Linked DNA regions of Macaca fascicularis. The protein of the gene in region 1 interacts with the protein of each later gene in a pairwise test. Links are inferred from orthologs where the notes say so. Each region holds a gene or a part of one and is shown in the gene's direction. Other genes may lie near its edges. The genes, in order: GAPDH and PRDX1.

Region 1 (3,907 bases):
TGGTGCAGGAGCATGGAGGTGCTCTTAACGCTCTGGATGGGAAAGGGTTAATGGTCCTGGTTGCAGGAATAGCTGAGTCAGAGGTGGGGCTTCCTCCACTCCCCCACCCCACCCTTCCACCATTAAGGACCCTCTTGCCTTGCTCTTGCTACTCTGCTCTGGGTGGTCATTGTGAAAAGCCCGCACCAACCATGCCAATGGCAGCCAGACGAGGACACAGCCTGGTTCTGGGTCCCAGGAGGAAAGGCAATCCCAGAAAGGCAGGGACAAGGACTGGAGTCCTGTGGGTGCCTTTTAAGCAAAGATTATCACCAGGCGGGCTAAACTTAGCAAACGGCTTTTAGCTAGAAGGGCAGGGGGCTGGTGTCAGGTTATGCTGGGCCAGCAAAGAGGCCCAGGATCCCCCTCCCATGCACCTGCTGATGGGCCAAGGCCACCCCACCCCACCCCCTTCCTTACAAGTGTTCAGCACGCTCCCATCCCACACTCACAAACCTGGCCCTCTGCCCTCCTACCAGAGAAATGGATACCCTGTGGGAAGGGGCAGGGGGCCTGTTCCCACCATGTGCCCAAGACCTCTTTTCCCACTTTTTCCCTCTTCTTGACTCACCCTGCCCTCAATATCCCCCAGCGAAGCCAGTGAAGGGGAGTCCCTGGCTCCTGGCTCGCCTGCACGTCCCAGGGCGGGGAGGCACTTCCGCCCTCACGTCCCGCTCTTCGCCCCGGGCTGGATGGAGTGAAAGGCACACTGTCTCTCACCCTAGGCAGCACAGCCCACGGGGCTCCAGGAGTGACTTTGTGGGAGGCCTCTGGGCCCCCACCAGCCATCCTGTCCTCCGCCTGGGGCCCCAGCCCGGGGAGAGCCGCTGGTGCACACAGGGCCTGGATTGTCTGCCCTAATCATCAGGTCCAAGCTACAGGGCTGCAGGACATCGTGACCTTCCGTGTAGAAACCTCCCCCTCAAGCCGCCTCCCGAGCCTCCTTCCTCTCCAGGCCCCCACTGCCCAGTGCCCAGGCCAGGCCTCGGTCCCAGAGAGGCCAGGAGCCAGGAGATGGGGAGGGGGAAGTGGGGGCTGGGAAGGGCCCACGGGCCCCTCCTAGCCCTTTGCTTCAGCTATTCCGGTGTCACTACCGCAGAGCCTCGAGGAGAAGTTCCCCAACTTTCCCGCCTCTCAGCCTTTGAAAGAAAGGGGAGGGGGCAGGCCGCGTGCAGCCGCGAGCCGTGCAGGGCTCGGGCTCCAATTCCCCATCTCAGTCGCTCCCAAAGTCCTGTTTCATCCGTGCGTGTAAGGGCCCCCGTCCTTGACTCCCTAGTCTCCTGCTGCCCACACTCCAGTCCTGGGAAGCAGCACCGATCACCTCCCATCGGGCCAGTCTCAGTCCCTTCCCCCCTCCGTCGGGGCCCACACGCTTGATGCGTGCCCAGTTGAACTAGGCGGCTGCGGAAAAAAAAAAAGAGCAGGGAGAAAGCAGGGCCCCGCTACTCGCGGTTTTACGGGCGCACGTAGCTCAGGCCTCAAGTCCTTGGACTGGGACTGGCTGAGCCCGGCGGGAGGCGGGGTCAGAGTCACCGCCTGCCGCCGCGCCCCCGGGTTTCTATAAATTGAGCCCGCAGCCTCCCCCTGCGCTCTCTGCTCCTCCTGTTCGAGAGTCAGTCGCATTTTCTCTTGCATCGCCAGGTGAAGACGGGCGGAGAGGAGCCCGGAGGCTAGGGACGGGCCTGAAGGCGGCAGGAGCGGGCGTGGGCCGGACGTGTTCGCGCCGCTGCGGGGTGGGCGCGGGCCAGGGTCCGGGTCCGGGCCCGGGCTGCCTCCGCATTGCAGGGGCGGGCGGAGGACGTGATGCGGCGCGGGCTGGGCATGGAGGCTGGTGGGGGGAGGGGAGGGGAGGCGTGGGTGTCGACCGGGACCACTAGGCGCTCACTGTTCTCTCTCTCCGCGCAGCGCATCCCTGAGACACCATGGGGAAGGTGAAGGTCGGAGTCAACGGGTGAGTTCGTGGGTGGCTGGGGGGCCCTGGGCCGCCCGCAAACTGCGTCTACGAGCCTTGCGGGCTCCGGGTCTTTGCTGTCGTATGGGGTAGGGTAGCTGCGTCCGGCAAGGAGAGCTCAAGGTCAGCGCTCGGACCTGGCGGAGCCCCGCACCCAGGCTGTGGCGCCCTGTGCAGCTCCGCCCTTGCGGCGCCATCTGCCCGGGGCCTGCCTTCCCTAGTCCCCAGGACAGGAGGTCCCTACTCCCGCCCGAGATTCCATCCGACCCGGACCCCTAGCTGGGGACGCTTTCTTTCCTTTCGCGCTCTGCGAGGTCACGTGTCGCAGAGGAGCCCCTCCCCCATGGCCTCCGGCACCGCAGGCCCCGGGATGCTAGTGCGCAGCGGGTGCATCCCAGTCCGGAGGCTGCGCCTGCGGTAGAGCGGCCGCCATGTTGCAACCGGGAAGGAAATGAATGGGCCGCCGTTAGGAAACCCTGCCGGTGACTAACCCTGCGCTCCTGCCTCGGTGGGTGGAGTCGCGTGTGGCGGGGAAGTCAGGTGGAGCGAGGCTTCCCGGCCCCTGCTCTCAAGTCGGCCCCTGAGCTGCAAGCCCTATTTCCCCTCCGGGTGATGCTTTTTCTAGATAATTCTCTGGTAAATCAAAGAAGTGGGTTTATGGAGGTCCTCCTGCGTCCCCTCCCTCCAGAGGTGTGGTGGCTGTGGCTTGGTGCCAAGCCGGGGGGAGCTGAGTCATCGGTAGTTGGAAAAGGACATTTCCACCGCAAAATGGCCCCTCTGGCGGTGGCCCCTTTCTGCAGCGGCGGCTCACCTTATGGCCCCCTCTTCCCCTGCCAGCCTAGCGTTGACCCCCCACCCCAAAGGCCAGGCTGTAAATGTCACCCGGAGGATTGGGTGTCTGGGAGCCTCGGGAAACCTGCCCTTCTCCCCATTCCGTCTTCCAGAAACCAGATCTCCCACCGCACCCTGGTCTGAGGATAAATATAGCTGCTGACCTTTCTGTAACTGGGGGCCTGGGCTTGGGCCGTCTCCCATCCCTTCTCCCACACACATGCACACACCTGTGCTCCCACTCCTGAATTCTGGAAAAGAGCTAGGAAAGGACTGGAAGCTTGCAAATTAAAGCCCTGGGACTAGGGGGTTAAAAAACAACTTCCCCTCTTCCCCCGGCCCAATCTCTGTCCCTTTTGTAGGCGGGACTTAGAGAAGGGGTGGGCTTGCCCTGTCCAATTAATTTCTGACCTTTACTCCTGCCCTTTGAGTTTGGTGATGCTGAGTGTACAAATCTTTTCTCCTTAAACGGTGCAGTTTGAAGCTGAGCTAGGCAGCAGCAAGCATTCCTGGGGTGGCATAGTGAGGTGCTGAATGCCACGTGCAAAGCTTGTGCCCAGACTGTGGGTGGCAGTGCCCCACATGGCCGCTTCTCCTGGAAGGGCTTCCTATGACGGGGGGTGTTAGGCAGCAGTGGAGCCTTCAGTTGCAGCCATGCCGTAAAGCCAGGCCAGCCTGGCAGGGGAGCTCAAGGGAGATACAATTCACCTCTTAATGGAGGTAAGGAGATGCTGGGGGTAAGGAGATGCTGCATTCGCCCTCTTAATGGAGAGGTGTCCTAGGGCAGCTCACATACTGTGGAGAAGCCTCCTCTCCTCATGCCTTCTTGCCTCTTGTCTCTTAGATTTGGTCGTATTGGGCGCCTGGTCACCAGGGCTGCTTTTAACTCTGGTAAAGTGGATATTGTTGCCATCAATGACCCCTTCATTGACCTCAACTACATGGTGAGTGCTGCCCCAAAGCTGATGTGGGAGGAGCCACCTGGCTGCCAGGCAGCCCCTTCACACCCTTGCGTATTCCCCCAGGTTTACATGTTCCAGTATGATTCCACCCATGGCAAGTTCCATGGCACCGTGAAGGCTGAGA
Region 2 (3,807 bases), on another chromosome or scaffold:
TTTGGCAATAGACTTTCAAGTATTGGCTTCTCATGGAAGAAGTGCAAAGTCTGACTTTCTCTTACTGCTCATGACCTGGCAGCAGAGAAGCAGCAGCTTCAGTTGCAGTTGAGTGTACCCTAGTAACCTACCTTAACTGTTCTCAGCATTCACTTTATTGCTGGAAAAGGAAAAAAACAGTTTTTTTGGAAAGTTAGATTAGGAATATGGGAAAGGGGGAAAGAGGAATAGGTACAGTTAAGTCAAGAGTTTGAATGTAACTGTGTTTGCCTTTTGCCGTAGGATCAACACACCTAAGAAACAAGGAGGACTGGGACCCATGAACATTCCTTTGGTATCAGACCCGAAGCGCACCATTGCTCAGGATTATGGGGTCTTAAAGGCTGATGAAGGCATTTCATTCAGGTATGTCATCAGGACAAGTACCCAGTTGGCTGAAAGCCTTTTATTTGGAGAAATCTAGAGCCCTGATCTGTAGAGACTCCTTCATCATTTCATTCCTTTATGCAGGGGCCTTCTCACTAAGGCCAGGCCAGTATGAATGTGGAGACCAGTTCATTTCCTTAAGACTTCAAGCTTCTGTATTCTAACAAAGCACATCTTTAAACCTGTATTGCTTTTCCTTTCATCTCTTTTCCCAGGGGCCTCTTTATCATTGATGATAAGGGTATTCTTCGGCAGATCACTGTAAATGACCTCCCTGTTGGCCGCTCTGTGGATGAGACTTTGAGACTAGTTCAGGCCTTCCAGTTCACTGACAAACATGGGGAAGGTAAGCCATCTGTCTGATAAAAGGATAACAGAGTGGTGGTAGAATGGGAAAGATAGTAGGAACAGAAGCTACCTAATAAGAAAAGGGGTATTTCTCTTCAAGATATTGAAGCCCCTGGATTACAGTATGTGAGGGTGAGGGTAATGGAAAAGCTTGGGAAGGAGAATATAAAGACTTTTTATTCGAAGTGTACATACTCCTCTCTTCTGCCCTGCTCATTTAGAATCAGTCACTCCTAAAGATCTAACTTAATGTAGGATGATCTCACAGATGTATTAGGGCAAAACAAAATGGTTGGGAATCACATCTAGAGATGAAGCATGCCATTTAAAAAATAACTGTTGAGAGAAGAGGTTAATCCATATAGTTCATATTTGTATTTATTTATTTATTTATTTTTTGCAAGACAGAGTCTTGCTCTGTTGCCCAGGCTAGAGTGCAGTGGCGCAGTCTTGGCTCACTGTGACCTCCACCTCCCATGAGCCATCGCGCCCAGCCCAGACTAGCTTTCTAAGGCCCATTTTAGCTCTGATCTTGTAATTTAAAGAAAATGAAGTTTAGTGACTAGAGTCTGGATTAGTGGTGTATGTTTGGGAAGACCCAAAGGTGCTAGTTTGGCTAGCACCAAATAATCTTTTTACAGGGATTACTTTTTAATCCCTGTAAGAGTCTGATTATATAGGGATCAGTGAGCACTGATAACCAGGAGGTACCCTTTTCAGAAGGATGTGTGGGCAATTAGCCTGGACAGATAACACATGGCTCAGCTGACACCTGCTGAGACTGCCCCTTTGTGGGAGATGAGGTTCAGCATTAAGAAGGAGCCGGCAGTGGCAAAGTAGGCCCTTTAACTGGACTTTCCTGGGAACCTACATACAGGTTAGTCTCCCGAACACAAGCTTTCATGACTCAGAAGCTTGCTTCTTCAGACTCTATTGGTCTCTTCTGCTTCCCATCCCACTGGAACATGTACAGCTTCTTAAATAGGCACCATTCAAGAGCCTATGAATGCCAAACACTATATATATATATATATTTTTTTTTTTTTTTTTTTTTTTTTTTGAGACAGAATCTTGTTTTGTTGCCCAGACTGGAGTGCAGTGGTGTGATCTCGGCTTACTGCAGCCACCACCTCCTGGGTTCAAGCAATTCTCTAGCATCAGCTTCCTGAGTAGCTAGGACTACAGGGGCCCACCACCATGCCCCACTAATTTTTGTATGTTTTGTAGAGATGCGATTTTGCCATGTTGGCCAGGCTGGTCTCAGAACTCCTGAGCTCAAGCTCAAGCAGTCCTCCGCCTTGGCCTCCCAAAGCACTGGGATTATAGGCGTGAACCACTGTGCCCGGCTGCCAAACACTTGTTTTTTTGAGATGGAGTCTCGCACTGTCATCCAGGCTAGAGTGCAGTGGTATGATCTCAGCTCACTGCAACCTCTGCATCAAGCAATTCTCCTGCCTCAGCCTCCCGAGTACCTGGGATTATAGGCGCTCACCACCACGCCCAGCTAATTTTTTATATTTTTAGTAGAGACGGGGTTTCATTATGTTGGCCAGGCTGGTATTTATTTGCTTTTATGCTGTTCTTTCCAACTTGTTTATCTTTAGGACCTGTATTGTAACCCTTTGATATCACTAAAGCCAATAACTAACAATCAGATGGAGATTTTAGGAAAATAATGGCAGCTTGTCCTTCTATTTAGCTCTTGTTCCATCTGTACCTTATGCCTAGAGAGCTGTTTGTAGAGTCTTGATATTTGAGGTTATGATATCCTTGGACCAAAGAGGGGCCTCCCTATGTCTCACTTGAGCAATTGAGACTCTTGCTGCTCCTGCTGGACTTTGATTACATGTCTCGTAGAATATGACAGCACATGGTAGTGGAAAAATCAGGCCAGGTGCGGTGGCTCACGCCTGTAATCCTAGCACTTTGGGAGGCCGAGGCAGGCAGATCACCTGAGGTCAGGAGTTTGAGATCAGCCTGGCCAACATCGTGAAACCCCATCTCTACTAAAAATACAAAAATTAGCCGGGTGCGGTGGCAGGCGCCTGTAATCCCAGCTACTTGGGAGGCTTATGCAGGAGAATTGCTTGAACCTGGGAGACCAAGGTTGCAGAGAGAGGTGGGGATCACGCCACTGCACTCCAGCCTGGGCAACACAGCGAGACTCCATCTCAAAAAAAGAAAAAGAAAAATGAGAGATTAGTCCCCTTGCCTCACTTTCTTCAGGCTAGCCTGAGACACATTCTTAGGCATTGTCAGGAAAAGGTTGAAGGCTGTGCTTTCTGTATACATTCACGAAAAATCTCAAACTTTGCCTTTTGCTTACCGAGGGGTAGATGGCAGTTACTTAATGAAACAAGCAGGGGCTTCTATTAAGTTCTTGATCCTTTATAAGGTTCAGGCTTTCCAGTTTGGTAGCGTTAGAAGAATGCTGAGAAGGCAGACTGAGGTTGCTGCCTTCAGAGTTCTGAAAGGCTGTCAGAGGGAAACAGTTTAGTGTTAAGGGTTTACATAGTTCTATGTGTATCATTTACTTAGCTTTTTTTTTTTCCCTTAAGGACTAGAGAGTGTTGGCAAATCATTTAAACTTGCCTTTTTTGTGGAAAATTTAAATTTTAAGTGCTACATGAATAAATTAGGCATAATAGTATCTTAAGGCTGTGGTGATGATTATATAATGTTTGTAAAATAGTTAGGTTACACTAAAAGGCTGAATGATCTTAGACCGATTGCAGGGGTAGGTTTCCTGGTATCTGAGTGTTCAGGCTCTTTAGGGTGCAGAACTGGTTTTGTCCATAGGAGAATGGTGGTGCATACCATTGAGAAGGTTATTAATTAGTGGTACCTTTCTTTTGCAGTGTGCCCTGCTGGCTGGAAACCTGGCAGTGATACCATCAAGCCTGATGTCCAAAAGAGCAAAGAATATTTCTCCAAGCAGAAGTGAGCGCTGGGCTGTTTTAGTGCCAGGCTGCAGTGGGCAGCCATGAGAACAAAACCTCTTCTGTATTTTTTTTTTTTCCCCATGAGTAAAAC

The links.
Region 2: the proteins of GAPDH (region 1) and PRDX1 interact in a two-hybrid assay, tested with the Homo sapiens proteins (2 studies listed by BioGRID and IntAct, with this or other methods). The link is inferred for Macaca fascicularis from reciprocal best matches to the Homo sapiens genes GAPDH and PRDX1.

The regions. Positions count from the first base shown.
Region 1 is NC_088385.1:7,455,196-7,459,102, forward strand, and holds the start of GAPDH (glyceraldehyde-3-phosphate dehydrogenase), read left to right. Parts: upstream 1-1,627; 5' UTR 1,628-1,772; intron 1,773-1,944; 5' UTR 1,945-1,961; coding exon 1,962-1,990; exon of another isoform or gene 1,991-2,498; intron 2,499-3,298; exon of another isoform or gene 3,299-3,639; coding exon of another isoform or gene 3,640-3,665; coding exon 3,666-3,765; intron 3,766-3,846; coding exon 3,847-3,907. UniProt on the Homo sapiens protein: Has both glyceraldehyde-3-phosphate dehydrogenase and nitrosylase activities, thereby playing a role in glycolysis and nuclear functions, respectively.
Region 2 is NC_088375.1:189,206,388-189,210,194, forward strand, and holds part of PRDX1 (peroxiredoxin-1), read left to right. Parts: intron 1-282; coding exon 283-405; intron 406-641; coding exon 642-772; intron 773-3,632; coding exon 3,633-3,718; 3' UTR 3,719-3,807. UniProt on the Homo sapiens protein: Thiol-specific peroxidase that catalyzes the reduction of hydrogen peroxide and organic hydroperoxides to water and alcohols, respectively.